4 linked regions of the Schizosaccharomyces pombe genome follow. The gene in region 1 interacts genetically with each later gene. Each region holds a gene or a part of one and is shown in the gene's direction. Other genes may lie near its edges. The genes, in order: fft3, pfd1, hos2 and set3.

Evidence for each region.
Region 2: mutations in fft3 (region 1) and pfd1 together harm fitness more than expected from each alone (negative genetic interaction), as found in Schizosaccharomyces pombe (2 studies listed by BioGRID).
Region 3: mutations in fft3 (region 1) and hos2 together harm fitness more than expected from each alone (negative genetic interaction), as found in Schizosaccharomyces pombe (2 studies listed by BioGRID).
Region 4: mutations in fft3 (region 1) and set3 together harm fitness more than expected from each alone (negative genetic interaction), as found in Schizosaccharomyces pombe (2 studies listed by BioGRID).

Annotation. Positions count from the first base shown.
Region 1 is NC_003424.3:2,094,328-2,103,518, reverse strand, and holds fft3 (protein Fft3), read left to right. Parts: upstream 1-1,713; 5' UTR 1,714-2,469; coding exon 2,470-5,238; 3' UTR 5,239-5,324; downstream 5,325-9,191. Other genes in the region: protein Atg14, read right to left, coding at 1-737; SPOM_SPAC25A8.03C (uncharacterized protein), read left to right, coding at 5,734-7,137; obr1 (NAD(P)H dehydrogenase (quinone)), read left to right, coding at 8,628-9,191. UniProt on the Schizosaccharomyces pombe protein: DNA helicase that possesses intrinsic ATP-dependent nucleosome-remodeling activity and is required for heterochromatin organization.
Region 2 is NC_003423.3:1,754,241-1,761,204, reverse strand, and holds pfd1 (prefoldin subunit 1), read left to right. Parts: upstream 1-3,946; 5' UTR 3,947-4,108; coding exon 4,109-4,117; exon of another isoform or gene 4,118-4,214; coding exon 4,215-4,381; exon of another isoform or gene 4,382-4,532; coding exon 4,533-4,695; 3' UTR 4,696-4,939; intron 4,940-4,982; exon of another isoform or gene 4,983-5,083; intron 5,084-5,162; 3' UTR 5,163-5,304; downstream 5,305-6,964. Other genes in the region: mRNA turnover and ribosome assembly protein Mrt4, read right to left, coding at 1-21, 357-473; actin cortical patch component End3, read left to right, coding at 826-973, 1,044-1,120, 1,345-2,247; protein Fis1, read right to left, coding at 2,803-2,903, 3,017-3,398; DNA-binding transcription repressor, glucose sensing, Scr1, read right to left, coding at 5,919-6,964.
Region 3 is NC_003424.3:3,165,719-3,173,067, forward strand, and holds hos2 (class 1 histone deacetylase Hos2), read left to right. Parts: upstream 1-3,952; 5' UTR 3,953-4,391; coding exon 4,392-5,696; 3' UTR 5,697-5,794; downstream 5,795-7,349. Other genes in the region: tif211 (translation initiation factor eIF2 alpha subunit), read left to right, coding at 738-807, 870-1,040, 1,147-1,826; png1 (chromatin modification-related protein), read right to left, coding at 2,473-3,324; phenylalanine--tRNA (Phe) ligase alpha subunit Frs2, read right to left, coding at 5,866-6,981, 7,050-7,139, 7,334-7,349.
Region 4 is NC_003424.3:5,037,296-5,046,335, reverse strand, and holds set3 (putative histone H3 lysine methyltransferase Set3), read left to right. Parts: upstream 1-3,591; 5' UTR 3,592-3,854; coding exon 3,855-6,434; 3' UTR 6,435-6,790; downstream 6,791-9,040. Other genes in the region: ribosome biogenesis protein rlp24, read left to right, coding at 1,664-1,668, 1,719-1,857, 2,105-2,539; etp1 (monooxygenase-ferredoxin fusion protein), read left to right, coding at 7,233-8,844, 8,890-9,040. UniProt on the Schizosaccharomyces pombe protein: Transcriptional regulator that acts via the formation of large multiprotein complexes that modify and/or remodel the chromatin. Required for both gene activation and repression.

The DNA of each region.
Region 1 (9,191 bases):
TCTTTACTTCTGATACATACAGGAATGCCAGAAATAGTCACAGAGGCATTTAACTCCATCACCTGAGAAAAAAAGTTGCTATAAAAATGTCCTGTTTCATTGTCACTATGAGATAAGTCGGATTTCGAATTGCCCATTGATAATTTTGAAAGTCTATACGCAAGAGATGAATCTATGGAGTCAGGGTTAAACTCTGATCCCATTTGAGCAGATTTTTGAGTGCAACCCTGAGTGTTAAGCACTAAATCCCTTTGCCAGTGAAGTTGATACATATCCAAAACCCTTGTTATCAGCTTCTTTTGATACTCATGCAATTTATTTTGAAGTAGCTCAGAACGGCGATAAGCTGTAAGGTATTCCTTAGAGAAATAGTCACTCGTTGAATGTGATAAGCCAGCTAACTTTTGACTCGCGATATTAATTGATTTTTTGCGATTAGACAAGTCATCTTCTATAAGCTGTTTGCGGGAATGCAAGTCACACGATAACGATTTCTTTTCGTTTAGAGAGGCAGCAAGGTTCTGTAGTCGATAAGTTAATTCCTCTTTTTGGGTAATCTTTCCTTTTAGAGAGAAACTTTCTGATTTCAATTTAGCAACCTTTTCAAGCTCTGACTCAATATCTCGAGAGAATTCATCACGTTTATGATAAAAATCATAAAGCTGCTTTTTTAAACAGCTTTCGCAAATAGAAGGACGTCTTGTTTCGCATAATTGGCATTTATTGACATGCAGCATACAAACACACCTTCAGTTTAGATCCAACAATGCCTTCAAGTGGTACGCAAATTTCAATTATAGCACAGCAATAAGAAAACTTAAAAACCCAGCAGGATATTAATTTCCTACTACGTTAACTGTCAACTTGTATACAATATAGGTGTTGTTAAAATAATGAAGCAAAAACAAAGAAGAAAAAGGGAAAAAAAATAAACAGCGCAGGTTTTTAAACAATTATTCTTAGAAACGAAGGGCCTCCTAACGGACAAATTCAAAAATATTAATTTAAAAGTGAAACTGCATTCCTGGCTGTTCTTGCAGAATTGAACAACCAATGCGATATTTTTGACAGAAAAAACGACAAATATTAAGAAAAAATTATATTATACGAATTCAATGCAATGAGTAGATGGACTTCTATTTCTTCAAATCCCCGAAGTAGCTACTTAGCAGTTGATGTTCGTATTGATTACTACAATCGTATGCAAATAGTTACTTTATAAAGCGTTTAAAAATATTTCCTTAAAGTAGCCTGTTACTCGACACTCAAATTTTTGCTAAATAACTTTGAGTGATGAGCAAGGTGTTTTACAAAACTATTTTATCTAAATAAATAGGTTAATAAAATATTAACTAAATAATATAATCCTAGAACCCAAACCATCCTCTTTTAACATTAGCTTTTGCAGTATCACCTAGAAAACATAACGTGGTACGCTGCCATAATATAACGAAACACTATTTGTTGTCATATTTCTTAAGGTTCAGTGACAAAAGATCTCTAGTATCTGCAGTTATGTTTAATGATTTTATTAAAACTATAAAAGAATAAAGACAATTTCGCCACGGTATCTTTTGCTAAATGTTTAGTAATATAAAGAGCAAGTTGCCATCATGATATAGCTTTACCATAAACTACGTTACAACGTTTAAGGCATTATTTAGCATCAGTATTTGGGACCACTACCACCATATCACGCCCCCGTGCCACATCAAGAACAAACTACCAGCATAGTGTGCTCTTGAATTATACCGAATAATTCCATAATACAAAAGAAGGTATTGGGTGACTGGAGTCTTTTTCTTTAACAATCCGATTCATTGAGTGTTATTATTTTAATTTTGGTAATTTTCTTTTTCTTTTTTTAAACAAAGATTGTTTTTGGATAGCCAAAGTATAAGTCGTTTTTGGTGATCTTTAATTGCGAGTATTTGTTTATTGCTAGAGCTTACCAAGTTTGCTTCATCTTAAACATCAGGAAAATTTTAAATTTATATTTTAAAATTTTTTTGTCTACTTTTCATTTACATTTTATTTTTCTTCATTAAATTCTGCATATCATCTCGAAACAACGCTTATGTATTAGAAGAAGGTGGTCTATCCTAATTAACTCATACACATCTCGTAACTAAAGGAATTGTTTCTTGTTTTAGAAATTGCAATAAGTTTTGGCCCTCAAAATTTTTTGTAATCTGCTGTTCCCATATTAAGTTTTCAACTATTTGAGTTACCAAGAAACGCGTGAAACAAGAAATCTGTATTGTTTTGTCGTTATTTCTTCCATTTTAATTAATCTTAGGAGAATTTAAAAAGTTTCAATCTTTTTGCATCTATTCTCGGCGCTCTTAATTCGTGTGATAAAATTATTCATAATATACACGTGACCTTACATATTTTTTCTCCAAATCCTATATTTTAGATTCAATTTTCTTTTGCCATTTGCTTGGATACATTGATTGTTACTTAATTATGGATGGAAAAAGAAAAATAGAGCATACCGCTGATGGCACGCATTACGACGCGACTTCCAACGTGAAGCGCAAGCCAATTTTCCCCCCTTTCATTGCTGATTCGCTTTCAGAAGCTACCGAAAAAGCTAATGTTATGGGGGGTGGTATGAATTCGCGACTTCAGATTCTTTCAGAGATGTCTAAACGAGTTCAGGCTACTGCACCCATTTCAAGTTTAGAACATTTCAAGCAGTTGAGTGATATTTCTCCCTCATTTACTTCCTCTGCTAACTCCATAAATCAACCATATAATTATTCCGGTTCGTTAGAAAATCTTGTTCCTACACCTTCTGCTGGCACTCCTTCGCAATTTATGGATGCCCAAAATCCATACGGCGCTGTTTACAATGCTTTATCTCAATTCTCTGAGACAGAGCCCAAAATGCCCTCTTACATGGATGACGAAGAAGCAAGCGATTCTTTACCTCTTTCATTATCGTCTCAATCACTGAGTTCACAGGTTACAAATCAAAAGCCAGCCCCACATCGTCTTACAATGAGAGAACGATATGCTGCTAATAATCTTACTAACGGACTTCAATTTACCTTGCCATTGTCATCTCGAAAGACTTATGAGCCTGAAGCTGACGATGACAGCAATGATGATATGTACTCTGATGATGATTCAAATGCAGATCGCTGGGCATCTCGTATAGATACTGCTGCTCTAAAGGAGGAAGTTCTTAAATATATGAATCGTTGTTCAACACAGGATTTGGCTGACATGACAGGTTGTACGCTTGCTGAAGCTGAATTTATGGTTGCCAAAAGACCTTTTCCAGATCTTGAATCTGCTTTGGTCGTTAAGCAACCTCGTCCGGTGATTCCCAAAGGTAGACGAGGTAGACGTGAAAAAACTCCTCTTGGACCACGTTTAGTTGGTATATGTATGGAAATTATGCGTGGTTATTTCGTAGTGGATGCGCTTATTCGTCAGTGTGAGCAGCTAGGTGGTAAAATTCAGCGCGGCATTGAAGCGTGGGGCTTGTCAAACACTGCTACATCTGATGAAGGTGAAACTTCTCTTGTCAACTTTGATCAAATGAAAAGTTTCGGTACGCCTGCAAATTCCTCGTTTATCACTACACCTCCTGCATCTTTTTCGCCCGATATCAAACTACAGGATTATCAGATCATTGGGATTAATTGGCTTTACCTTTTGTACGAGCTCAAACTGGCTGGTATCCTGGCTGATGAAATGGGGCTCGGTAAAACTTGTCAAACCATCGCTTTTTTCTCATTACTCATGGATAAAAATATTAACGGGCCACATTTGGTAATTGCACCTGCTTCAACGATGGAGAATTGGTTACGTGAATTTGCCAAGTTCTGTCCCAAGCTAAAAATTGAACTTTATTATGGATCGCAAGTCGAACGTGAAGAAATTCGTGAACGTATCAACTCTAATAAAGATTCTTATAACGTTATGTTAACCACCTACCGTTTAGCCGCTACTAGTAAGGCTGATCGTTTGTTTTTGCGCAACCAAAAGTTCAATGTTTGTGTATATGACGAAGGTCATTACTTGAAAAACCGTGCGTCTGAGAGATATCGTCATTTGATGAGTATTCCTGCCGACTTTCGAGTTTTGCTAACTGGTACACCGCTACAGAATAATCTTAAAGAATTAATTTCGCTTTTAGCGTTCATTCTTCCTCATGTATTTGATTATGGTTTGAAAAGTTTAGATGTCATTTTTACTATGAAAAAATCCCCAGAAAGCGACTTTGAACGAGCATTGCTTTCAGAACAGCGAGTATCGAGAGCCAAAATGATGATGGCCCCATTTGTCCTTCGCCGTAAAAAGAGCCAGGTGTTAGATGCTTTGCCGAAGAAAACGCGTATTATAGAATTTTGCGAATTTTCCGAAGAGGAACGTCGCCGTTATGATGACTTCGCTAGCAAACAAAGTGTAAATTCTTTATTGGATGAAAATGTCATGAAAACTAATTTAGATACGAATGCAAATCTTGCAAAGAAGAAAAGCACAGCTGGTTTTGTGCTTGTACAGCTTCGTAAGCTTGCGGATCACCCTATGTTGTTTCGAATTCATTATAAAGATGATATCCTTCGACAAATGGCGAAAGCTATTATGAATGAACCCCAATACAAAAAGGCAAACGAACTTTATATATTTGAAGACATGCAGTACATGTCAGATATTGAGCTACATAATTTGTGTTGCAAATTTCCGTCTATCAATTCATTCCAACTTAAAGATGAACCTTGGATGGACGCCACAAAGGTCAGAAAACTTAAAAAACTGCTCACTAATGCTGTTGAAAATGGCGACAGAGTTGTATTATTTAGTCAGTTTACACAGGTTTTGGACATTCTTCAACTTGTCATGAAATCATTAAATCTAAAGTTTTTAAGATTTGATGGTTCTACACAAGTCGATTTCCGCCAGGATCTCATCGATCAATTTTATGCTGATGAAAGCATTAATGTATTTCTTCTTTCTACCAAAGCCGGCGGTTTTGGTATCAATCTTGCGTGTGCTAATATGGTTATTCTTTATGATGTCTCTTTCAATCCATTCGATGACCTTCAGGCGGAAGATAGAGCACATAGAGTTGGCCAAAAGAAAGAAGTTACAGTTTATAAATTTGTTGTCAAGGATACCATCGAAGAGCACATTCAACGTTTAGCCAACGCTAAAATTGCTTTGGATGCGACTCTTTCCGGCAATGCCGAAACTGTGGAGGCTGAAGATGACGATGATTAGTTTATACAGGGTTTTTTATGCATTAGTTTTAAAATAGTCAAATTGATTAGGTTTCTACTTTATTCGAGTAAACCTTTCTCTTTATTTTCAATTGTATTATCTGTATTTGTGTTTTGCACGTTATAAGTCGATCCCGTTTCACTAAATCAGATTAAAAGATTTGATTTGTAAAAGTAAATTCTATTTATTGAATGATACAAATTCAGTACTTCTTCAACCTAATATGAAAGCTTTTAGCTTCTTGACACCATTTATATACCACGCCAAAAACGCGTCGTGAAAATGGTCAGTCTTTTTTGAAGATAATACAGCAAATAAGCGATTCTTATTATCCAAAGTCGTTCTAAAACTTGCAAAACAAAAGTTGACAGAGGAAAGCACTTCACCTAGTAAGTTTATGAAATCATATTATTACATTTTATTTCTCAACTTCGAATAATAGTAATCGAATAAATAATGAATTTTGTTCAATTTTAATACTACAAAGAGTGTTAAATGCTGAATCTTTATATGTGGAAGCTAAGTCGCTCTCAAGTTTATCAAGCTTCATTATTATTTGGAAGCAGAGTAATTAGTGCTCTTGCATTTACAAATACCGGTCTAGTTTTGCATGGCCCAAGAAGATGGTATACTACTGATAATGGATTTTTGTTGCACCGCGATTCTAAGGTTTCGTTAGCCGATTATATTCATGAATCTACGTTTGATCCCAGCAAGGGTTACTATTCTCGACTTTGGACAGGCTCAACCAATAATTTGAGCCATTCTGTACATGTATTAAGGAAAGAAGGGCATAAATGTTCCAAAGAATTTGATCCTTTTTTGCATGGAATACCTATTCCTCAAAAGGCATTAAACATCTATGAAAAGCAAAGGTCTCTATTCTCTGAGTCCATTAGTAACTACTTGGTGTTGCAGTATAAACTTCGATATTTCCCGGTGTTTGATTTGAAAATATATGATTTTCATTCTGGGACTGGAATAATAGCATTGGATATTCTTGATTATCTTTATAAAAATCACCTTGAAGTTTATGGACGTACTACATACAATATAGTCTTGCATAATTCTTGGCAAGCAAGCTGGTTTAAGAGCATGTTGACATCTGTGAGATATGCAAAGCATGGAGATCATATTGATATATATGTTAGTGATCCATTAACGTGGAACCATACTGATACAAATCCTTGCTTTGTATTGGCATTACAGGTAATTAGCTCCTTCGGTCATGATTTATTTCGTCAGAGTAACGGCGCCATGATGATGGAACGGTGCTGGCTTGGTCCAGAGCACTTTTTAAACGAATTCTTCACTCTAAATACTCACCAAAAAGTTAGCTCTTTGAATTACCATTTAGCATTTCAACAAGCTAGGATTAATGTTCAGCAAGGGTTTAGCGACAGCAGGGCTAAACGGTACTTTTCCGGTGTTAAACAAGTATTTTGGTCCTTTTTTAGCACGCAAAAACTCACATACTATCCTACGAAAGCCATTAGATTTTTTGAACGATTGTCAAAACAGTTTCCGCACCACAGTCTGCTTTTGATGGACGTGTGTCACGTTGACAAATCCTTGCCTGGAATCAATGCACCGTCTGTTTTAAGTATGGAAAATGATTTTTCTACAAAAAAAATGTCTTCTAACATTGGGCACGTGTTTCAAAATGAGACCGTCAAATATGTGTTTCCCACACCTTTATATCTAGTTTCAGATATACTTCAGCTTGCTACTCATAATCGGTCCTTCATTTGTTCACTTCCCCATTTCTTAAGGCGATGGTCTAATGAACATGGTAGAAAGTTTTTCGTTCCTGTAGAACCGTCATCTAAAAACCTAAAAGTTCCTTATTCCTTCAACAATTACTACGTTGTCTCGTCTATGCCAACTTATTATTACTAAATGGCAAGTACTATTTTTCTTATTCTTTGTTCAACTTGAGAGGTGCACTAAGCGGGCTAGTGAATTGACTTTAGTTATTTATTTATTTATTTTTTGAAAATTGGTTATAAATAAAATAGCTTTAAATTGGAAAGAATATCATATTCAGTTAGGGTTGAAAAGGTTAAATAATGAAATTGCCAGTGTCAACTCGAAAGAGAATGCGAGCTTTAAACTGCATAAATAATTAAATATCGGAAATTTATACAATCTTCAAACGCAAGCCGTATTCAGTTTTGTATTGAACATCGATTGAATTGCTATAATCTTCCTATTAAAGATTTTGCAATAAACATTAATAATCCATTGAAATTTTTTTTTTTTTTTTTAAGAATCGAATTTTATTGTATTAAGACGTGATCCTAAACGCATTGTATAATATCATTGTGTTTTATTTTCCTGGGGTTTTTTTTTATTGCTTATTTAATTAATTAATTATTTATTTAATTAGTTAATTTATTTGCTTAGTTTATTACAACTCGTTCATCTTTTTATTTGGTTTTTTACTTTTAATTATTATTTCTTTTTTAATCATTCTTGAGAAATCGCTCTGTTTTGATTATGCGATTTATTTGCTATTGTCTTTTAGCACCTACAAATTTCTCAAGAATATTATCCTGTATGATGTTTTACATATGAATATATGAAATTGATTGATTTAAAATTGATACTATGATGAGAAAGGGAAGAGGTTTAACACTTCATTCTATAACCGTTTTCTTTTGTTTTCAGTGCTGACCAATTCCTTGCATACACAAAAACTTTCCAAGGATGATGATGGACTGGCTGACCATCAATGCATTTTGCACTTAAAATAGCGTACGTTTTATCGATTTACCGATGTTTTCCATTGGGTTGTGTTAAATTAGAGGTGACCGTAACCATGTTATTTTCCCAGTACTAAGTTAGTAGGAAAGCTATAGAGAAACCCAAAGTCCCCCACTTAGGCCAACAGTGGCGCAGCTACATCGATAAAGCAAAGATGAAAATAGCGATACAAAAGGTCAACACCAAAAACTCATCAAGCGAGCCAAAGTATGTAACCTCAGTTTACAGAAAATGGGACAGGTAATAACAAATGCCAACACCTGTGGAATGAAAGTATTTCAAGCACAAAATCGGTTTGTTTGATCTAAAGTGAGCATGAATGAGAGAGAAAGAAATAAAATAATAATAGAATCATTGTTTGAATAGGATTAGTCAGAAATGGTTCAATTTTCACAATCCTAGGATGAACCAAAGGTAGTTTACGTAATCTTGGTAATCAACCGCTGGTCCCAAAAAAACAGGAAATAAAAAAAAACACATCGGAGGCTTTCAAAAAATCTATATAAGGACGTAAAATTCCCTATATTTTTAAACGTTCCAAAGAAATTCAATCACAGCTTCATTCTTCACTGTCGTGCTTCGATTTCGTTATTTTATTACTCCAGCGTTTTATTAAACCCAGTATGTCTACCGCAAACACCGTCGCTATTGTGATTTATTCCACTTATGGCCATGTCGTCAAACTGGCTGAGGCCGAAAAGGCTGGCATTGAGAAAGCTGGTGGAAAAGCTGTCATTTATCAGTTCCCCGAGACATTGAGTCCTGAAATCTTGGAGAAGATGCATGCTGCACCCAAACCCAATTACCCTGTTGTTACACTCGATGTCTTAACGCAGTATGATGCCTTCCTCTTCGGTTATCCTACACGCTACGGCACTCCTCCTGCTCAGTTCCGTACTTTTTGGGACTCCACTGGTGGTTTATGGGTGCAAGGTGCTTTGCATGGAAAGTACTTTGGTCAGTTCTTTTCCACCGGTACCTTGGGCGGTGGTCAAGAAAGCACTGCTCTTACTGCCATGACCAGCTTTGTTCATCATGGAATGATTTTTGTACCTCTTGGCTATAAGAATACATTTTCACTCATGGCTAACGTTGAGTCCATTCATGGCGGCTCCAGCTGGGGCGCTGGTTCCTATGCTGGAGCCGACGGTTCTCGTAATGTATCCGATGATGAACTAGAAATTGCA
Region 2 (6,964 bases), on another chromosome or scaffold:
AGTGACATCAAAAATCCACATCTATTGAAAATAAACAGTTAGTAAAACAGCCATTTAAAATTTTATACGATCGAGTAGAAGGTGTAAACAGATGGGTATTTGTTAGCAGTGCTAATAAATAAGTAGATAATTGGAAAAAAAAGTATAACTTTAAAACCTCAACGAGAACTCATAATCTAAAAAGCTGTACTGTTGAATTTCAACTTCAAAGCATTTGGAAACACCTTCGTACAAAAATAGACAATTCAATCACTAAAAATAAGCATCTAAATCCATGATGCTCGTTTTTCTCATTTTGTAATCCTTCAGCACGATATTTCTGTTACAACTCCTCAACCGAGCCCATTTTCACTTACATAGTCAAACGAATCCAGCGATTGCTGTACTCCAGAGAAAAGAGCAGCCTTTCCTTCATGACCCTTTTTCTCAGTTTGAGCGAGAGTCAAAACTTTCGACCTCCTTGATTTTGGCATTTCTTCCTCTTTTCTCTGCAAAAATTGTTGTTGGCAGAGGTAACGATTTTACCATACTCTTTACAGGTATTCATTGAAAAATGCAGCGCGCTAGGCTTTGATATTTAAGGATAGAGTATTATTGTTGTGCTTAATTGCGTTTCGTAATTTTAACGGGGAAATGCCGCGCAACTTCCGAATCACATCCGGTAGTCTGTGAGCTTACCGTAAACAAGACACGTAGTATGAGCAAACATTGGAAAAAGGTAAAAGAAAGGTCAATATACTGAGTTCTTTTACTTTTCCACTGGCCGTACACGATTCAGGAGAATTAGATATTTTAGGGTATTAAAATTTACTAGAACTCGACATAATGGATCCCCAAGAGAAAAATAAGTATTGGGAAATTTTTCGCGGCTTGAATCCAGAAAATGGCTATTTATCAGGATCCAAAGCTGCTGGAGTCCTCCGTAGTAGTAAGCTTTCAAGCGATAAATTGGAAAAAATTTGGGATTTAGCAGGTACGGAAAACATGAGTTTGCGGTCTGAGTCGTTTAATCGAACGTGTGCTAATGTTACGAATATGGATAGATATTGATGATGATGGAATGTTTGATTTTGATGAATTTGCAATTGCTATGAAAATCACCTTTGATTTGATTAATGGGGTATGAAACCACTTACTTTACTCATGAATGAACCTGTGAAGCATGGATTAAATAAATGTAAAAAGATGGAATAAGATATGAATGATTTAAGAAGACGGCGCTTGCGTAAAGCCTTCATTTTTTCTTTTATCCCTTCCACTTGTTTGATTGTTTTTATTGTGAAAGGCTACCTTTGGTTTTTAGGGTTTCTTTTTTTGTCTATTTTCATCATTTCTAACCATTAGGTTTACAAAACCGTTCCAGATAGAGTACCCGAGGCGTTGGTGTCTACTTCCAAAAAGCATTTAGTAGCAGCTCGAGATGCTCTTCGTGGAAATGATGATATTGCTCTCTTACACAAAGTACCTTCGCTTGATACCGACCCGGAAGATGCCGTTTTAAAAGATGGATTTGATTGGTACATTTCTCCATCCGATAAAATTCGATATTCCGATATTTACTCCCTACATTGCAATAAACACGGAGAAGTATCTTTTAATGGCCTGGCACCTGTATTTACTCCTTTTGGGGTTCCCAACTCTCAAATTCAGAAGGCTTGGAAACTTGTCAATCCTCAGGGTACTGAAACCATACAGAAAGATCAGTGTTTAGTATTTTTGCACATCCTTACTCAGAGATCCAACGGATTCCGTATTCCTAATGATGTCCCGTACAGTTTAAAGGCTAGTTTTAAGAGAGGAAATATCGATTATAATTTAGATTCCTACAACTCTACTAATAACTATTACTCTTCACCTACAATGGCTCCATCTACGGGTGGTGCGAAGCCGAAGAGTGATCTTGATGCCCCGAGGGATGTGAGAGACTCTGACTGGGAGCTGATTTCATTAAGAAATGAGCTGTCCAAATTGGACGAAAAGATTCTTTCCCTTCAACGTGAAACTGACGATGTTAACATTGCACAAAATAAGTCAAAGCTTATTCAACGTGATTTACAGAAAGTACTTGACTATAAGTTGGGTATCCTTCAATCTCTAAAAAATGATGGACCAAATGGCCCCAGCGCTTCCGCCATTGATAATGACTTAAAAATGCTGGAACAACAACTTAATGTTTTGGGACGTCACTTGGAAGGTCGGAAGTCTCAAGTGGCTAAGCTAGAGGAAAGGCTTCGTAGTCTGTCTTAACAAAATCTCGTTTATAAAGCTCATCATCTCAAATACTTGAGTCTTTGGATGTTTTCTTGGAAAATCGACGAAGGTACACTCTTTCTTTCTTTCTTTATTGGGCTTAATAAACTGTTCAAACAGGAAGAGGGAATTGGATTGTAAAATCATTCATTAATGTCCATCATTATATTTTTTGGTTTAATCGATACAAAACTTTTGAATTAGTATAAAAGGAGGAACTTATTCAGCTTTTATAATAAATACTCACTCTCTTTTTATAACAATCTAAAACCTCCTTGAGGTAAATTTATTACCCTGCTGTTAAGAAGAAACACAAGCGAATTCAGAACTATCAACTGGGTAAGAAGAAAAGATAATATAATAAAAACAACAAGCTTCGATTTATAATCTTCTTTTTCTAAAAAAAGTGCACACTATAATGTCTCCCAAAGCCTTCGTAACTCATACGCGTTTCATGAAAAGGATACATCCACAATCCTATTGTTCGTAAGGAGAAAAAATTGAAGAATTTATGCAAAAGAAAGCTCCCTTGTGATTAATATCGTTTACGGTTTAAGGACGACGCTTTGAAAACAACCGTTTTGATGCCCAACCTACAAGAGCTGCAACTGACACCACTGCACCAGCTACCACAACCATTCCAATGTATCCTTCTAAAAACGGGTTAGTAATGATTCTTTTCATTATTTATAACGCATCTTTCTAACATAAACACAACATTCATGCATATGTGATACCTCATTAAGTTTTATTAAAATAAACATACCTTTTGTAACAGCATCGTAAAGACGGTTTTTTAGCTTTAAAGCCTCTGGGCTATTTGGATCTTTGGATAACAACATATTGAGATAACGACGGGATTCTTCATACTGCTTCAATTTGTAATGGGACAAAGCAATGTAGTAGAGGCATTCCAAACGCCTTTCCGGTGAATCTTTGTAAATGCTGCAGAACAAAGATAATCCCTGTTGTACATGCTGTGTAGAATCTGAGCGTACCAATGCCCAAGCAAGGTTAAATTTGGTTTGTAAAGTAATCAGAGGTTGTTCTGCATCGTATTGTTCCTTGATTTGTAGAAACTCATCAACAGAAATAATTGAATCAATAGCAGAAGGATCAGCGAGGCGAAGGGTGTGTTTTTCAGTCATGATGTCGTTATTGCTTCCTATATTGGTCTTTGAATGTGCCTTAATTATTTTAAAGGCGGATTAATATAAATAAACGGAAAATGTTGAAAAAACTACAGTCACTTGAAAAAAAATTCAACAACTCAAATATAAAAGAAGAAAAAAAGGGTTGAGTATGATGCAAAAATGCTAAATTATCAATGTAAACAGCCAATTCCAATTATAAAGGATTTGAGGCGCAAATGAGTGAACTACAAGGATAATGGATTTCCAAAGCAATAGAAAAGTCCAGAAATCCGATTTAGTAAGAATATGGATATGCTTTTTCCACAAAAATTTGAAACAGAGAAGGAATGAAATGAAGATTCGTTTGTGAACGCCATCGCCAACAATTTATGTAAGGAAGAACTTAAGGATATGGCAAAACATTTCACAAAATATTTATTACAAATTGTGGCGTATTATGTAATTCACATTTGCGAAACGTACCGATAATAAAAGCAGTGTAAAGTAGCTTGTAACATGCCAGCTTTGTACTTAAGGCCTAACCAACATTTTGCCTAAGACTTGATATACTTGTAAAGGTGGTATATTCAAATATATTGAAAAAGTTCTTGATTTGTCTATAAAAAAAGTATTAAAAGGACTATTCTTTGTACCATAATTTTGGAAAGAGCAATTCAATCCAAAAAAAATAAGTTCTTGAGATATACCCAAGTTTCCTTTAAATAATGCAAAATGTACGTATTTCATCATTGAGAAGAGAATTATTTTGTTAGGAATTTCCCTCTTTTTAACTGTGTTACATGGTAAACTAATGAGCTTTGGGCATATTAGTTAGCTAGTCAAATACAAGAGAAAGCGGTTGATTCACAGCAACAACTGAGGACCATAATGGTACAGATTGCTGCCAAGGAACGGGCACTAAAAATAAGTGAATTAGCCAAAAAAGAGTTAGAGGATGTTGGAGAAGATAAGGCCGTATATACTTCTCTTGGAAAGATGTAAGTGTCATAAAATGAAACATGTATTTTTATTTTCTTTTCTATAAAAATAGGGAAAGAATACGGAATTAGCAAAAACAGCACTTTTGGAATGGAATTGACCGTACTGTCAATCTATATGTAAAGTCATTTACTAACTGTTTATTTACAGGTTTATGAAATCCGATTTGGCTTCCGTACGTACACATTTGGACGCAGAAATGGCAAGTTTAAGAGAAGATATTGAAGCACTACAAAAGAAACAAACATATCACGAAACAACGGCCTCAAATGCTGAGCAGCATTTACAAAAGATAAAAGAGTCGATTTCTTAAAACATCAATTATAATCATCTCATTGGTAAATTGGATTATGGGATTGGAAAGTTTATGACTTTCTTTTTTATCTTTAAAACTGTAGAATTAAAGTAAATTTGTTCCATTAATCTTCTTGCATTTCTAACAAATACTGGGGCATTTGTGAGCCGAAATTTTGATCACTGTGACTGCGCTTTTGTGTATGGATACTTAAATTTCAAGCTTGAAGACTTGTGAATTTAGTATATGTTATACTTTTAAGGTAAGTTTTCTACTGTTAGAATTGACGTTTGGAAAAGTAAATGGAGAAAGGATTTCTTTGATGATTCCAAAAAAGCATAGTTCAACTGAGCATCGTATGCTGAAACTTTTTCCATCTGATTTGCACGTCAGTCTGAGATTTCTCGTTCCCTTTTGTTTCTTTCTTTTTCAACGTCTGTTTGTCTGACTTTTGTGTTGGCTGTTTTACTGACCCATACTTTAAGGTGTTCTATATTTTTTCAAGGATATCATTAACTGTGTGGAAGCTGTTTTGTTCTCCATTAACTTCTGATTTCTTTTTGAGAGATGCACAAGGAATAGTTTATAGCTTACTTATAGTTTATGAATAAAATTATCCGAAACGAACTGTCACTAATCATTGTTTAACAAAGTATGTAGTAATGTATTAATATTAACTATGGCGACAATATTAGGACTTGAAGGTCTCTCATATCAGATGTTTGTTTCTGAATTAAAATAATAATTCTATATACGAATTGTGAAGTTGCCGTTAAATTATGATGGTAATTTGCTGTAGTTCTAGTTAAAGTCATTAATGTAGATCCTGCAGTTCAACTTTTTGATAAGATCTGCAGACAACTTTATATACAATAAATTTAGCTAAATAAAAGCAAAAAGGATTAAACACCATCGGTAAAAAAAAATAACTTTATTAGTTTATGGTCTATTGTACCCATACACTGATCAAGAAGTAATTTAAACATATAACATAAATTTTCACCTATGAAAGCAGTCTAATAAACACAAAATAACATTACTAATTATATGCCAAGAAGTTTAAAAAAAATTTAAAACAAAAAAAAAAAGAAAAACTGAACAATGGAACCTCAAATGTCGAGACTCATGATACTAATAAAAAATTTAATACTTAATTTATAAAATAGCATAACACACAACCAAGGTGTTTAGATGGTTTAAAGGAAGCAAAGGTAACTAGCGTTCACAGCGCAAATATTGGGTTAGGGCTTGGTCATAGGAGTTAACGGCCCTATTGAAAATGCCGGTGTGGTGGTGGAATAGGAAGACGACGCCGACTTTGTGGATGAAGAAGGAGATGGCGGTGATCCGGCCAAAAGGTTGCTGACACTCACACGCGAAGAAGAGGAGAACTTGCGTGATCGTCGATTCGATGATATACGGACTGGACCAACATTCGACTGGGATGCAGGTTTGTGAGGCATGCTGCTATTAACGTTGGAGAGCGAGCTCAGAGAGACGGACGATGGAGTACGAGAGACAGCACCAGAGGCTGGTGTAGACGCGGAAAAGGCGTTAGGATCACACTTCAAAGGAGGAATTAACGGAACTTGAGAAGGTCGTAGAGAAAGCGAGCGGATAGAAGGTAATTGAACGCAAGATGGATCATCCATGGGTCTCAAACGAGGAGAATGTGCCGGTGTAACGAGAGGTGTGACGTCTGGGGTGGGACTAAAGCTCCTAGTGGAAAAGGTAGGACTACTCGGTGCAGTGCTGCAGGGGGAAACCGGGCGAGAGCGACGCTGGTATCGGAAATGGGCAAAATCACTTGACGAAGAATCATCATCAAAGCCATTGGATACGCTGGGTCGAGAATAAGGCAAATAGTTGTAATGGGCATAACGTAAAGACTGAGGAGCGTAAGCCGTAGTACCAACGCCATACATTGAATGAAGGCTAGTACTACTGTTAGATTTGCTAGGCAGATAGGGAGTCTGCATAGACGAATTACTATATAAAGAGTTGCTCGAGCCATTAGTATACTTTGTAAATGAACCAGTGGATGAGTTAGAAGTTAAGCCTCTATTGGGAACCGATGCGAGATGATTAGGAGAAGTATTGGATGATGATGGCAGACTACCTACTACATTCATCTGCTTCGGTGGGGAAGGAGCATTAGATAAAGGCATTAAATTAACACCCGAAGACTTTGTAGGAGTGATTCTAGGGGCAGCATCCAATTGATTAGCAGCCGCTGAAGCCAACAATTGCATCTCGTTCATGGACGACAATCTGGAATCGGGTTCCG
Region 3 (7,349 bases), 1.1 Mb from region 1:
ACATCTTGTTCATTTTCATGAACAAGTGTTAAAGAACTTTTATATTTATATAAAAGACATATTCAACTGGTTGTCTTTACTAAGTTTAGATGCATTCTTGATTCAATGTATCTACGAGAAGCGCATTGAAAAAAAAAAGTTTGTTTGTAATAGTTTATATTCAAAGACTGTTGAAAACACATTTCCTCAACTATTCTTGAGTTTGGCATTGATAACCTTTTGAATTTCATTAATACGAGTTCTCACTTTTTTTTGTAATCCAAAAAACGGTGATGGATGGTTTGTAAGGCAATGGATTAACAACTTTTCAATAAAATAATTCTTTACTCTAGTCAAAGGAACAAGTGGAATCAATTAGACAGAGTCTTCTATTCGTAAACTTTCCAATTGTAATTTTCGTTTGAGGGAAAAGAAAGTTTAAGTATATTATCTGTAATTCTAAACGATGTAGTAAACTAGTAGTTTATTAAACACTTTAGTTTATTAAATACTTTACTGCTAGTTTATTCAGCGTTCGGCTGGTAAGCCAGTTATCACCGATCGTTATGTGCTTTTAGATACTAATAAATCTTCTTTAAGGAAACTTTTTAAATATAAAGAATAATTATTGATAAACAGTTAAGTTAAAATGACCAATGTCTGGGTTCTGAAAAGAAGCAAAATTGGCCCCTAGAGTTTAGAAGTGGGTAGTCCACACAAATTTTTACTCAGAACCAAACACTCAACACTTTGCAAAAATGTCGACGACAAGCTGCAGAATGTACGAGAATCGCTTCCCGGAAGTGGATGAACTCGTTGTTGTCAACGGTATGTAAAAAATGCACATGTTGTCTGTCTAAAGAAACGGTAATGGCTAATATTTCCAATAGTTCGTCAAATCCAGGAGATGGGCGCTTATGTAAAATTGTTGGAATACGATAATATTGAAGGAATGGTTTTGCTCTCTGAGCTTTCCAGACGTCGTATTCGTTCAGTACAAAAGCATATTCGCGTTGGTCGTAATGAAGTCGTCGTGGTCTTACGTGTCGACAAGGAAAAAGGTAAGAATTTATTAGTAGTTTTTTTTTTTTTTTTTTTTAAAAAAAAGAAAAACAAAAGGGGAAAAAAGGTTTATAAGTTGTTAGGAATGTACTAACCAGGATTAAGGATACATCGATCTTTCAAAGCGCCGTGTTAGCCCTGAGGATGTTGTAAAGTGCGAAGAACGCTTCAACAAATCTAAGGCTGTTCATTCCATTATGCGCCATATTGCTGAGAAGCATAATGTTCCTTTGGAGACCATGTATACCACAATTGGATGGCCATTATACCGCAAATATGGACATGCTTATGACGCCTTTAAGCTTGCTATTAGTAACCCAGATCATGTCTTTGAGGGTTTAGAACCTCCCAAATCGGGTGTTATTAATGATTTGTTGGCTCAAATCTCTCGTCGTCTGACGCCTCAGCCCATTAAAATTCGTGCTGACGTTGAAGTCACTTGCTTTGGCTACGAAGGTATTAACGCTATCAAGGCCGCTTTGAAGGCTGCTGAAGATGTTCATACCGAGGAGGTTCCTATCAAAGTTAAACTTGTTGCTCCTCCACTTTACGTCCTTTTGACAAACGCATTAGATAAGTCATTGGGTCTCAAAAAGCTAGAAGAGGCAATTGGTGCAATCGAAAAATCCATTACAGCATCCAATGGTACCTGTACTGTTAAAATGAAACCCAAGGCGGTTAGTGAAACTGACGAATTGGAGCTTGCCGATTTGATGAAAAAATTTGAAAAGGAAAATGCTGAAATCTCTGGTGATGAAGAGGATGACCAAAGCGGTTCTGAGTAAATGGATTAGACACTAGCTAATATACGCTTTTTCATTGTGAATTTTTGGCACTTTAGTGTTCCATTATAATCTGGGGTTCTTTTTATTTTGTACTATACACTTTATCAAATTTATCTAGTGATATCTATGGTTAAAAAATTTCCTCTTCTTTTTTCCGAATGCGTAAGAGTTCTTTTATATGTTACGAGATAATATGAAAACGCTAGACGCTGCATCTTGTTCCTTTGTATGTACAATAATAAGTTCAGTTCCAATATAGTAGAAATAATGGACAACAAATGCAATTACAAATAATAAAGTTACAAAAGACTTATTACTGTGGTTAGCTACGGCGTGTAATATCTGCTTTGGGGAGGATTGGGGAAATTAAAGAACTGAATTTCTTAATGTACAAGTAATCTGGTACTTATTATGTGAGTGAAAAACAAACAAGGACAAGAATAAGATAAAAAGGATTCGTAATCGTGAAGATATGATTAATAAATTAACCATTTTGCAAATCACATATACACAGCTTGAACAACGTATAATCAAATATAGTAAGTTCGGAACAGGTGAAAAATTAGCGGATATTAAAGCCCAAAAAAAAACAACAATGCTTGCATTCAATAATGGGAAGACCAACAGACTTTAGATTGGGGAAAAATTACTTAGCATCAACAAGCTTCTGATCCCTACAAGCTTCGCAATACCATGTACCTTCAGGAGGAGCTTTAAGACCAACACACTCCATATGGAACCATTCACGCTCACAATTAGCATTGTCACAAGCGACCATTTGCCCATATGATCCTTGCTGGCAAAAACAATACTTTTCATTATCCTCTTCCATATCTTCTTCTGAGACCATTTCATTCGGCGTTGTGGAATCTGCCTTAGTTTCTAACTGGGTGGTTGCAGTGGCATTCGAAACCTTCTGACCGCGAGTTGAACCAGAATCTGCCAACGAAGCCGTATAAGGAGAGTGATAGACTCCATTTTGAATTGCACCCCTGGTAGTTGCTGAAGTACGACGGCGACCAGCTGTTGAGGCTCCCGACCGAGAAGGGGCCGGTGTTTGACGAGCACTTGAGGCACCACTTGGACTGTATCCACCATACGGTGAAGAAGCATAGTAGTCAGGAGCATTTAACAATTCCGCAGCTGTAAATCCATGACCGGCCTTTGCAAGTCTATCATCCAATCGCTTTATGTGCCGTGTAAGTCCCAATCTGGCACGATCCGCCAACTGGACTTTCTCGTTCTGTATATTAATTGCCTTTTGATACTCCTCGCGAATCGTCGAATACAAAGCATCTTCTTTTGGATGTGGGGTCAAGGAACCATGTGATTTAATGTATGACTGAATCTGAGAATCAGCTGCTTGAATTCTCTTCCAGATGTCATGTACAGCAACTTCCTTCACACTAATTTCGTCAAAGATGTGTTTTGTTTCGTTGGGAACATTATCCAACGTTTGCAAATACTCACTTAGTATGTAAGCTGTATCATCTGCCATTATTCTCAAATTGAAAATTATAGATACGTTCTAATTTCCGCTTTATGCAAAAATTATTATTATGATTTCAAATTCCAAAAGAAAGGGAGATTTGAGTCTTTTAAAGAGATAGGGAAAGTTGATATTCCACTAATATTTTCGATACTTCAATAACTAATGAATAAAAGATACTATGACTTTATCTTTTAAAGTAGAGGAATGTGACAATAAATGTACAAACGAGAAGGACAAAGACACTAATTGAAATAATATATATGAACCTATGGCTCGTTTTTGTGTCGTTTAAAGATTATTTTTACACTCTCTTAAGCTGCTGAAAATTTTTCCGGTTGTTTATAGTAGCCCACATTTGGTGTTGAGTTCCGCCACTCCATATAATGTAAACACAGTACTGGAAGGCAAAGAGGGCGAAATAAAAACATAAGAATTCACGCAAACCAAATCACTTTGAAGATAAATCTTTTCAACGTATGTATGATATCTAAGTTGCCAAATTGTCTATGAATTCACATGCTAAAGGTTACCATCTGTTTAAGTAATAACGATACGTTATTAATGTGTTAGTTCATATATGGAAGCATAACATACTAAACTACACCTAAGTTGGTAGCTTCCTTCTGTGTTCACTGAGATATACATTTTTAAGTTATAAGAATGAACCAGCACTAGCAATTCTTCAAAAAATTGTAAATCCTATTTGTTCTTGTGTTTATGGGCTTCAAAGAGTTTGAATTAACGCTTTGTTGAAGTTGTACATTTTATCTAATAAGGTATCGGGTTTAGCGACCTTTTGCTACGTATTCTGCGCTCGACGTAAAAATAAAGTATTTACAGTTCGTGTTGCTGTTTATTATTTGGATTGAATTCTTTTCTATAAAAAAATCTGGGTTGTTTTTCGATTTATATTAATTTGGCATTGGTCAATAACTTTCATTTCTCTTGTTTCTTCTGAAACAGTTATTAATTTGTTTCTTAATTTTATTTATTCTTTTCTTGTTCTTTCTTTAGAAAAGATATTTTCATTTAATTTGTCTCGCGGTTTTTTTTAGTATAATAGTCTGTATATCATGGATACTCCTGAGACATCCACACCTTATGAACAAGTTGAAAAGGGGTCTTTTTTTAGCTTTCGACCTCAAAAAAAGCGTGTCACATATCACTTAGATGAACAGGTGGGAAACTACCACTATGGTGACAAACATCCAATGAAGCCCCATCGAATTACCATTACAAATCATTTAGTGATGGGTTATGGGTTGCATAACAAAATGAGTGTATTCAGCCCCCGGATGGCAACTTTTGGTGAAATGTCAGAATTTCATAGGGAGGATTATTTGGATTTCCTTAAGCGCGTTACTCCTGATAATGCTGAACAATTTGCTGATAAGTTCCAACAATTCAATATTGGTGATGACTGTCCGGTCTTTGACGGCACTTATGAATTTTCTCAAAGGTCGGCAGGCGCTAGTTTGGATGCTTCTCGGAAGTTAGTGCAAGGTCAAACAGACATTGCTATCAATTGGAGCGGTGGTCTCCATCATGCAAAGCGTGGTGAGGCTAGTGGATTCTGCTATGTTAATGATATTGTTCTAGCAATTTTGAACATGCTACGGTTTTTTCCTCGCGTTTTGTATATCGATATCGATATTCATCATGGAGATGGTGTGCAGCAAGCATTCTATGAATCTGACCGCGTGTTGACGGTTTCTTTTCACAAGTATAATGGTGATTTTTTTCCTGCAACTGGTAATTTTGATGAAAATGGCGTGAAAGGAGGGAAATATTTTGCTTTAAACGTTCCTTTGGAAGATGGTATTGGTGATGAACAGTACACTAGTCTTTTCAAATCCATAATTGAACCAACTATCAATACTTTTCAACCTTCTGCAATTGTCCTTCAGTGTGGTGCTGATTCGCTTGGTTATGATCGGCTCGGCGTGTTCAATCTGAGCATCCATGCACATGGGGAATGTGTTAGATTTACCCGTTCATTCAATATACCCATGCTTGTAGTTGGAGGTGGTGGTTATACTCTTAGAAATGTTGCTAGAGCGTGGTGTTATGAAACTTCCATATGTGTAAACGAACAAATACCTTCAGAATTACCTCGTGAAACTTTGTATTACGAATTTTTCGCACCAGATTACACCCTCCATCCGCGATTAACCACGAAGATAGAAAATAAAAATACACCGAAAGCTCTTGAAGATCTTCGAATACGGGCCTTGGAGCAATTACGTTACTTAGGAGGAGCGCCAAGCGTTCAGATGCAGCAAATTCCACCAGACTTAACTGGGCATTTGGAAGAAGAAGACGAACGGTTGAATGATGAATACTTAGACAAAGCTGTGGATGTTCGCGTTCGAGGCTGATATTAATGAATTTTCGACTTTTTATTTGATATCCGTACAAACATCAAATAATTTTAGTTAATGTTTATAGACATTGTAAATATTAATAATTGACCCTATACGAAAATACGTTTACCATAGTGATTATGTATTATTTTTATAAACGATTATGCAAAAAAAAACACTAAATTTATTCCTCTTTGTCTAAACGAACTGCAGGGCTAGCCTCAATTAGGTCCAAGTTAACCTTAGGACCAATCAATTGTCTAATGTCGGCCACACCATATTTGATCATAGTGGGGCGCTCTAAAGAAAGACCAAAACCTAAACAACGAACATCTTTAGGTAATCCCATAGGCTCTAACATCTCCGGACGGAACATGCCGCTGTTTCCGACTTCAACCCACTTACCAAGCTTTTCGTGGTAGGAAAAGACTTCCAATGAAGGTTCAGTATAAGGATTATAAGCAGGTTTGAAGCGCAAATTTTTAACGTTCATTTTTCCAAAGAACACCTCAAGGAAACCGATCAAATCACCGAGGGTAATATTTCTATCGCAGATTACGCCTTCGACTTGATGAAATTCGGCAAGATGAGTTGCGTCAACGGTTTCATTGCGGAAGACCCGATCAATTGAGAAGTATTTAGCAGGGTGAAAGCCATTTTGGGCAAGTTTGTACAACATATTCGCCGAGACAGCAGTAGTATGAGTACGAAGAACTAGTTTACGAGTTTCCTCCAAGGAAAAGGGAGCACGGTATCCAATGCCCTTAGTCTCACCACCGTTTTCGTGAGTGGCCTTTACTCGAGCAACATATTCGGGATCTGGCAATTTATCAGTAGAAGCAGGAACTTTCAAAAAGAAAGTATCTTGAGCATCCCTTGCTGAATGTTGTTGGGGGACAAATAAAGCATCAAAGTTCCAAAATCCACTTTCAACAAAATTGTTGGTTGGCATTTCTTCAAAACCCAATTCGAAGAAAAATTTACGGAATTCTTCACGTACTTTCATCAAAGGATGAAGACATCCACCAGCTGGAGGTATACCTTCAGCTGCAAAGTTGTAAGATTTAAACTTGGCACTTTCCCATGATCGAGAGGTGATCATCTCAGCAGTTAAATCGGTGTTCAGTTTTTCAATTTGAAGCGAGAAATTTGGACCTTTCCTCAAAGAGAAGTACATAATTTTGTTACGTTCAACAAGCTTTCTCTTCTTCAAATCAGTTAACGTCTTACTGTCAGAGATAGTTCCATGTTCCTTAATTTCACTAAGGACCTTAGGGGTCTCATCTGTAATGGAATCAGTCTGGTCAGTTAGTAAATAAAATATTGCATAACGTTAAATCAATTTGCACTACTATAACTTTGCCTTACATTTTTAACAAGCTTGTCTCCATCTTTCTTAATCCAACCGAGTTTAAAGGCTCTTCCTTGACCAATACCAGCCGAATTCCCCAATTTTTTCTAAATCAGTTAGAAAAAGTACAAAAAAACTAAAAGGCAGACGTAGCGATATGAAAAGGTGTTGCATCAAAACGCGAAAAATCGAAAATGCAACATAATGCTAGAAAAAAAAAACTAACAATATTTACCGGGCGTTTAGACTTAATTATATTTAAATGCTTCGTCGTTCACAACTACGATTCCAATGACTTTACCTTGAGTTCCCCAATA
Region 4 (9,040 bases), 2.9 Mb from region 1:
TTCTAAGAATGATTTTTTAGGATTGTTATTAAGATGCCTGTTTATGTGGAAGCAGGTTCGGGTGAAGTTCATTTTTTTTCGGTGCATATTAAGGGAATACTTAATGATCAAAGGATCTATTATTTCTATATTTTAATCTACGTTCACCAGGCTTTTTTGGTGTAATGTTGGGCTTGTATGGCGTTGAATCAACTAATTTTGGAACAAATTGTGCTTAGTTTTTTTGGTTCCGAACTATGACTTAATTGTGTACAGTGGTAATTACACAATTCCAAAATTCGTTGAATTGGCTGACATTAGTAGTAAGGTATTTTGCTTTACTAAGTAATTGTCATCTTGCTTAAGGCTATTCTATCTCCAATTGTAATGTCTTCGATTTTGTTCCTCTCCTTATTTTTTTTTTATTTTTCTCTTTTGCTGGATAGACGTTTATTCAGTTAGGTTGAAGTTCAGTTTTACGAATGTATAATGGTGTATGTTAGAATCTAGTTAAAGACATATTCTTTTAAACGCAAAGGAATTTAAAAAAAAGAAAAGACAAAGTACAATAGCAGTATTATTGATGCCCTCCTTGAGGGTCGTTTTGTAATAGATCTTCAGATGAAGATGTATTTGGATACTGTCGTATACGATAATTTGTTTTAGATATAACGATAATGACATAAAAATTTTTTAACTATGGTTTTGGAAACCAGTTTATCGATTTTTATTTTACTTGTGATTCTCTTCATTCATTTGTCTTGTGGGTCTTTGCCACAAATATTCGATATAATGTTTATAAAAACTAAATATGTAAAAAAATAACCTGTACATTCATTTTATTAAAAAAAGTAATTATAATAAATATTCTTTAACTTATGGTACACATAATATTGTTATCATGTATGGTCTTGATGGAGAAAAGGTAAATAACTAAACTAAAAAATTTAAAACGAAGTAAAAAATATCGGTAAGTACGAAAAATAGATAAAATTTAATAAAAAAAGGAAAAAAAAAAAAACAATTACATTTTCTCAAAAATCACTTGAAAACTAAAGACTCTTCTTGTTTTGTAATACTAGACTTATTCAATTTGACTAAGTAAAACACACTTGTATAATAAATAGTATATTTTATTTGTAATGATAACAAGGTCTCGTGGCCCAATGGTTAAGGCGCTTGACTACGGATCAAGAGATTCCAGGTTCGACTCCTGGCGGGATCGTTTTTTCAAAAGCTCAAATATCGTGAATACTGTAAAATACCTTTTAAGATCGTGCGTCTATGTATCCTATTGCAATCCAGTAAACTGCATATGCATAGAGGGATTGTGTTTTTAAAAGCAATTAACCTCGGTAATATTATGTATTTATTTTTTTTGGCGTAGACACGCCTTTGATAAAGAAGCGATATGAGTTAACAAAAATTGAAGATAAAATTTATTATTAATAGGTTCCTAAGATTGCGTCCGAGACCATTCACTCGAAACTTCACCGAGATGGTATTTCATTAAATAACGCAACCTAACGATATATCATAAATTAGATAAGGCATATTTGGAATTCGCAAAACGCAGCTTAAGTAGAAGCTCGCATCTCAAATATGTGCGTTGTAGGGAGCGCGAATTTTTACCTGCTCTTAGCCAACTTGAACATACAAGGACGGGAAAGAATTTAGGGGGAATATGAGGTTTGTAGAGCTAAATGCCTTCAAAGTATTTATTACTAACGGAAATTTAGGGTACATACTTGCTATTTCTGCTCGGGTCCTGTTTACCCAGGACATGGAATAATGTTTGTTAGAAATGACTCCAAGGTCTTTCGTTTCTGTCGCAGCAAGTGCCATAAGAACTTCAAAATGAAGCGCAATCCTCGTAAGGTATGTTTTTTTTATAATAAAGGAATGCAAAAACGTTATACAGACTTGGTTGAGGAAGATGATTGATTTTGAAAGAGGAAAAATTTTTTTCTGTTGCCTTGTTTTGAAATGATACTTTTCTTCTTCAAATTCTACCTTAAATGGTGTACTTTTTCCTTTATATGCCCATGAACGAAGAAAGTTTTCTATTGTTTTTTTAAATGTTTTGCTTCCACCTATATGTATGTATACTAACTTCAATGTCTAGGTTGCTTGGACCAAAGCGTACCGTAAGGCACATGGAAAGGAAATGGTTTATGACACAGCTCTCGCAGTTACCGCAGCTCGTAGAAATGTTCCTGTTCGTTACGACCGTAATGTCATTGCAACTACTTTGAATGCCATGAAACGGGTTAGCCAAGTTCATGCCAAGAGAGAGCGTCTGTTTTACAAAAAGAGATTGGCTGGCAAACGTGCCCAAGAGCTTCAAGAAGCTCAAAAACTCATTGCTCAAAATGTTCCTCAATTTACCGAACCCGAAGGTGAGGTTGAAACTGCTGAGGTACAAGAACCCCAAATTGTTTCCGACGAGGAGTATACCATGGAAGAAGAAGTTGCAGAACCTGTCAAGATTCCCGTCCTCGCCAAAAAACGCAAAAACAAGAAATCTCGAAACTCATCTTCAGCCATGCAAATGGACTAAACACTCTTCTTCCTACAAAAATGTAACTCTCGATCTTCCGTTGGTTGCGTCCCGCTTCGTTCTTTTATTTTATTTTATTTTATTGTTTTATTCCTTTCAAATTTACAAAATAGTAGAAGAGAAGACATTTTTGGGGAGTGGTTTTCTTACACTTTCGAACTCTTTAGACACTTCGAAAACGTGTTTTTTAAAATTTATCTTGCATATCTAAAGTTGGCATTTGGTTTCGGCTTCTCTTCTCGTTTGGTTACTTCTTTGGACTTGCATGCTACGTGCAGATTAATATGGTTAATAATGGATTTTCGTGTATACATACTTGTAAACGAACCTATCTTCAGTTTGGAGCTTGTACAAGATACAACAGTCTAACAGTTTGAAAAATGGTTGTTTAGGAATAAATTGGTTTATATTATTAGTTTCGTTTATCACAAATGCCTCTTCGAAATGTAAAATTCTACTAGAACGATAGAACATTGCTTCATTATTTGGATTCAATTCTCCATGAGGTATATTTAGTAAGTCATAAAACAGTAAAGACTTTGTCATTTATGCTGGTTTCCTTGCATATACATTTCTCTATAGTTGACAAGCCTATTCAAGTCTCATATCACTGTGGAACTCATGAAAACAGATCCCTCTCCTTGTAAAGCTGTTTAAACCCTACAGTCCAATGCTAAAGGTTGTTAATTCTTTAGAGTTGCGAGTCCGTTATTGACGTTTTCGATTGCTTGCGCACACTCACTAACACCATACATTAGCTAACTACTGACACATTGCACCTGCCGTTTATCTCAACTCATTGTCTTAGTAGATGATTTTTTTTTTTCAAAATGGTTTCTTAGCAAGACTCATTAAAAACTCCTTGACAGTTTTATTACCTTCTAAAATATGTAAAATGAGAAGTTTCATAGAGAAATGAACTATTCTTCAACATCTTCTTCTCTTTGTTTTTACCGAGGAGACGTTAGACTGCGGAAACGTGGTTTATGGGACGTGTGTTTACACTCGGTGGATGGAAATGTTGAAGAGCGGAATAATCGCGACGTCGTATCAACTACCAAAATCGCGTATGCAAATTGAAAACAGAGTATTTGTTCAACTTACATGGTTTTTCGAGTATTTATATACTAGATTCCTAGTTTTAGGAGAGTTCAGATAATCGAGATAGCCATTGGTATAGTTGGGGCTAAAATCTTTGCTTTCATAAGAAAGCAGTAATTTCCAAGGTTAAATTGCTCCTGTACAGAAATTAGCGTTTATGAAATACTTCTTTACTTTGTTATAAGTTGATCGTTTTCTCTTTGGTTAAGTTAGCATGTGGAAAATACGATGCGTTTGTCCATTCGAGGATGATGACGGATTCACCATCCAATGCGAAAGTTGCGAGGTATGGCAACACGCCGTTTGTGTAAACATAGATGCAAATAATGTTCCTGAAAAATATTTTTGTGAACAATGCCAACCTCGTCCTATCGATGCCGACAAGGCGCATAAAATTCAACTAGCTAGGTTACAGCGCGAAGAAGAGCAGTCTAGGATATTATCGCGATCCCGTTCTTCCAACAACAAGAGAAGAACTAGTTTTGGCAAAAATGGTGCTAGTCCTACACACTCTGCGTCACCGAGACAAGGCAATAACACAGGCGCTAATGGCGCTTTATTTTCACAGTCTACCAACTCTTCGAACTCGGGGTCTTATCGTAACAGTGTGACTGGTGCAACATTGCCCAATGCTCATGCTCCACATTCTCAGAATCGCAGACGAAGATCCAACCACCTTAACAACCCACCAGAGGCTCCAATCACCGAGGCTTCTAACGAATATGTGTATTCGTTTCACTTGGAATACGTCCCTTTGGAATCAAACACCTTTTCTGCATCTGCGCTTGAGTATTCTAAGAATTTGGATTTAAAGAATTTAGATGAATCCGAAGTTTTAATGGATGGATGCCAAGTCGTACCTATATCATCTTCAAAGTTTTGTTGTAGTCGCTTTGGTTTGGTGTCAACTTGCGAAATTCCTCCAAATACACCCATTATGGAGGTGAAAGGAAGGGTTTGTACGCAGAATGAATACAAAAGTGATCCCAAAAACCAGTACAATATTTTGGGGGCTCCTAAGCCACATGTCTTTTTTGACTCAAATTCTCAGCTTGTTGTTGACTCACGGGTTGCTGGTTCAAAAGCGAGGTTTGCGCGTAAAGGTTGTCAGTCAAACTCCGTCGTTTCAAGTGTTTACATGAATGGGTCTAACAGTGTTCCTCGATTTATCCTCTATTCAACTACTCACATAGCTCCGGAAACAGAGATTATTGGGGATTGGACTCTCGATATTTCCCATCCATTTCGCCAGTTTGCGCCTGGTATGTCGCGACCCTCCTTCAATATGGAAGAGTTGGAATTACTTTCAGAAGTGCTTTCTACCTTCCTGTCGTTTAACGAATGTGCCTCACAGGATAAGAAAAACTGTGTTTTTTCCAGAGTTACTAAATATATTAAAGCGGCCCGCCGCGCTTCTACTGCAAACCGTGTCAGTGTAGCAAAAGACCGTTTGTCTCTGACACCTTCCTCAACCCCTTCTACCCCTAGCCCTGCTGAATCATTACCGCAACCTTCAAACCCCACATCGGTCTATGCCAAATCCTTGAAAGAGTTTTGGTTAGATAAGTACCGTCTTAGTATTTTGCAAAAATGGCCTGCTGTTAAGTCATTACCCACAGAAAGTGTAGGAATCGATGTAGTCATGGAGCCGAAGTTACAGCCATCTGTGAAGGAGAAAAAACCAACTAAAGATTTACAATCTCCACTACCCTCTGTTGAGGAAGATTCCTCTAATAGGGACAAGAAAACTGATATTGCTGATTTACACACTGATTCTAAGGTGGGCATTGCAGACGTCTTATCGCCCATTTCACCCGATGCTGCATTACAATCCGATGGTCCATTGAAAAAAGCAAAGGAACCTGAAGAATCCTCGATAACCCCTACAACTCCTCCATCTTTTAATGTTGGAGAATCACTAAGTAGGCGATCAGCCTCACCATTACAACATCCTCGAACAAGCCCAGATATGCTGGACAAAACTTCTCCTTGCAAAAGAGGATTAGGAACTATTACGACAGTCCACAAAAAGCATGGTTCTGTTGATCATTTGCCGTCAGTTAAAAGACGCCGTAGCATTGCAAATGATTTTCATGGCAAACCTGATTATAATAAAAGATCGCTATCTATCGAAAGGAAGCCGGAAGCCTTTAAGACTAAAGGTGACAGACCACATAAGGTCCATCCTTCTTTCCATAGAAATTCAGATTCAAAATTGAAACTCGAGCCGTCGAGTAAAGAAAAGAGTGGGTCCATGTTTTTTAATACGTTAAGGACTGTAAAAGATAAATCGCATGTTCACGACACTCAAAGGTCTTCTGACGTTAACTTTTCTAGACAGAATGGCACTCGATCCCATTCACCTTCGGTTAGTCCTGTCGGGTTTTCGTTTGATAAATCTCCTGTAACTACGCCTCCTTTGCCGACAGCTCCAGCACCAGTTATAACGAGTCGCCATGCTTTGGTAAACAACCAATTTCCTACGAACAATCCAAACATTTTGGACCACAAAGCCAACAACGGTGATGATATCTCGAATGCGTTAAATACTTCAAGAAGCGAAAACAAGCCCAATTCGAATCTGGTCCAAGGAAGTGTAGTCAAGCCTAGTAACACTTCAGCCTCTGCTCTTCCTACCTCAGCACCGAAGAAGCTATCTCTTTCTGAGTATCGACAACGACGTCAACAAAACATTCTGCATCAACAGTCGAAGGATAATCAAGCACATGGCGATACAGCTAGGCCTCACACCGTTCCTGCTGCTACAGTTTCTAACCCTTCATTTACGCGATAAAAATTCTAGAAGATGTTGTAAATCTTGAAACCATATAAATGTGTGGATGATTTTTTTTATTGGATATGGTATACGAACAAGTTTTCACGATTCTAAAGTTGGTACGATGACTGCATCTTTTTACCTTCATATGTATTTTCATTTCATTTTTTTATTATGATGATTGGTACTCGGAGCATATTTTACTGTCACCTGCTTCTGCATTCTTTTCTTCTTCGTTTGTAAATATTTAATGACTAAGTGTTTGGGCGAAAACTCTAGTTCCTTTTTTTTTTTTTAGTTTCTTTTGATTCAGAGCAACGAACCCTCAGTCGTTGCATTTTTCTGTTCCTAATTTGCACGTTTAGAACATTGTACAATATAATAATATTAATTTATAGCAGTTAAATGATTTATGTTTGTCATATAGAAGTTTCGGTTCGTAAGATTATAAGAACTAACTATTTAAGATGTCAGCTATTTCCGTATGCGACATGTACTAGATTAAATAACTTTTTGGATACGCAAATGAAGCTAGTACATTTTGAGTATTAAGTATCATAAATATAAACATCGATTCAAATATGCTACGTGCAGATTTCAGCGAATTGTCGCATCAAATTAAACTATTCATCGACGATCCACTCAGATCTTGTATATATCAAACGGCCTACGTTAATATAGCTTGTCTACTTATAGCGACTCTGAAAGTGCGCCGTTAGATTATTGTGGTATAGAACCGGGAGGTTAGGTACCATTCCTCTCTCTCCATGAACCTACTTTTTTAAGCGAAACGCAAACAAAAGTAAACAATTACCAATGAACATTTCACGTTCATCAGGTCTGATGAGACAGTTCCTGCTTCAGCCCTTACGGAAAGGCTGCGACATTTCTTGCCTTGGAAGGTCAAGTTGGAGAATGAGCAGGAGCTTCTCTGGATCGAGTGTTTTAAATGAAATTAATTTGTCACGGACTAAGAATTTATTTTTGAATGATTGTAAGTTTAATAAAAATTCATTTGAAAAGTTTTTTGCTCGCCGGCTGAGTAACTCAGTCGCTCCTACACCAGGTGGCATCCTACAGGAAACCGAAAAAATTCCGAGTAAAAAGGTCGCCTTTTGGCTGCTTGGATCTTCTGCTCTTGTTCTTGCAATTGTTGTTGTAGGTGGCATTACTAGACTAACTGAATCCGGGTTAAGTATTACTGAATGGAAGCCCATCACTGGCGTAATTCCTCCTCTTACTGATGAACAATGGAACCAAGAATTTGAGCTTTACAAAAAATCACCAGAGTTTGAGAAGCTGAACAGCCATATGACAGTGGATGAGTTTAAAAACATATTTTTCTGGGAGTGGTTTCATCGTGTCCTCGGTAGAGGAATCGGCTTGACAATCCTTCTTCCTTCCATATACATGATTGTGACTAAAAGGGCATCTCCTTGGCTAAGCAAGCGACTAATCGGCCTTACGGGACTCGTTGGACTTCAAGGAGTCATCGGTTGGTGGATGGTCAAGAGTGGTCTTTCAGAAGAGCTCTTCAGTGATGGTTCTCATCCGCGTGTTAGTCATTATCGCTTGGCTACTCATTTAGCCGCTGCCGTTGCTCTCTATATTGGCTTGGTGTGGACTGGGCATGGAATCCTTCAACGACATGCCTTTTTGAAATCTATGAAGAGTGGCTCCACATCTCAATTGACTTCAATGGTTTCTTCAGTTCAGAAAATGAAAGGATTTCGTACTAGTGTTAACTCATTTGTTGGCTTGGTACTGATCACCCTTTTGTCCGGTGCCTTTGTTGCTGGATTGGATGCCGGAATGATTTATTGTACTTTCCCGGAAATGGGCGAAGGAAGACTTGCTCCATCTAAAAGCGAGTTATTTGATCAAAGGTTTTGTAGGAAAGACGACAAGTCCGATCTTATATGGAGAAACATGATTGACAACCCAAGTCTTGTTCAACTCGAACACCGTATCTTAGCTATTACTACTTTTGTTGCTGCATGTGGTCTTTTTATTTTTTCCCGTGCTAAAAGAAACATTTTGCCTAAGAAGATTAAAACTAGCATTAACGTTGTTACAGGCGTTGTAACTGCTCAAGCTACTTTGGGTATTATGACTCTAATCTATGTTGTCCCTGTACCTTTGGCAGCCCTTCATCAAGCCGGTAGTCTTGTTACATTAACCGCGGCCTTATCACTTGCTCAGCGCTTGCATCCAGAATACGCTTTAAAAAACATCCGCTCATGGACAAAATTAATCTCTTCTCCTCCCAAAAGTAGCATTTCATCTTCCATTTTGACTCAACAACGCCAATTCCATACATTCCGCCCATCATTCCATTCCGAAATTAAAAAGCCTTTGCCGGGCACTGGAATCAAAGTTTTTTTCGTCACGCCTGAAGGACGTGAAATCATGATTGAGGGAAATGAAGGTGATAGTATTTTAGATCTCGCTCATGCTAACAATATCGATTTAGAAGGCGCTTGTGAAGGGTCTGTTGCATGTTCGACTTGCCATGTTATCGTAGATCCAGAGCATTACGAACTTTTGGATCCCCCGGAAGAAGATGAAGAAGACATGCTTGATTTAGCATTTGGTCTTGAGGAAACAAGCAGATTGGGATGCCA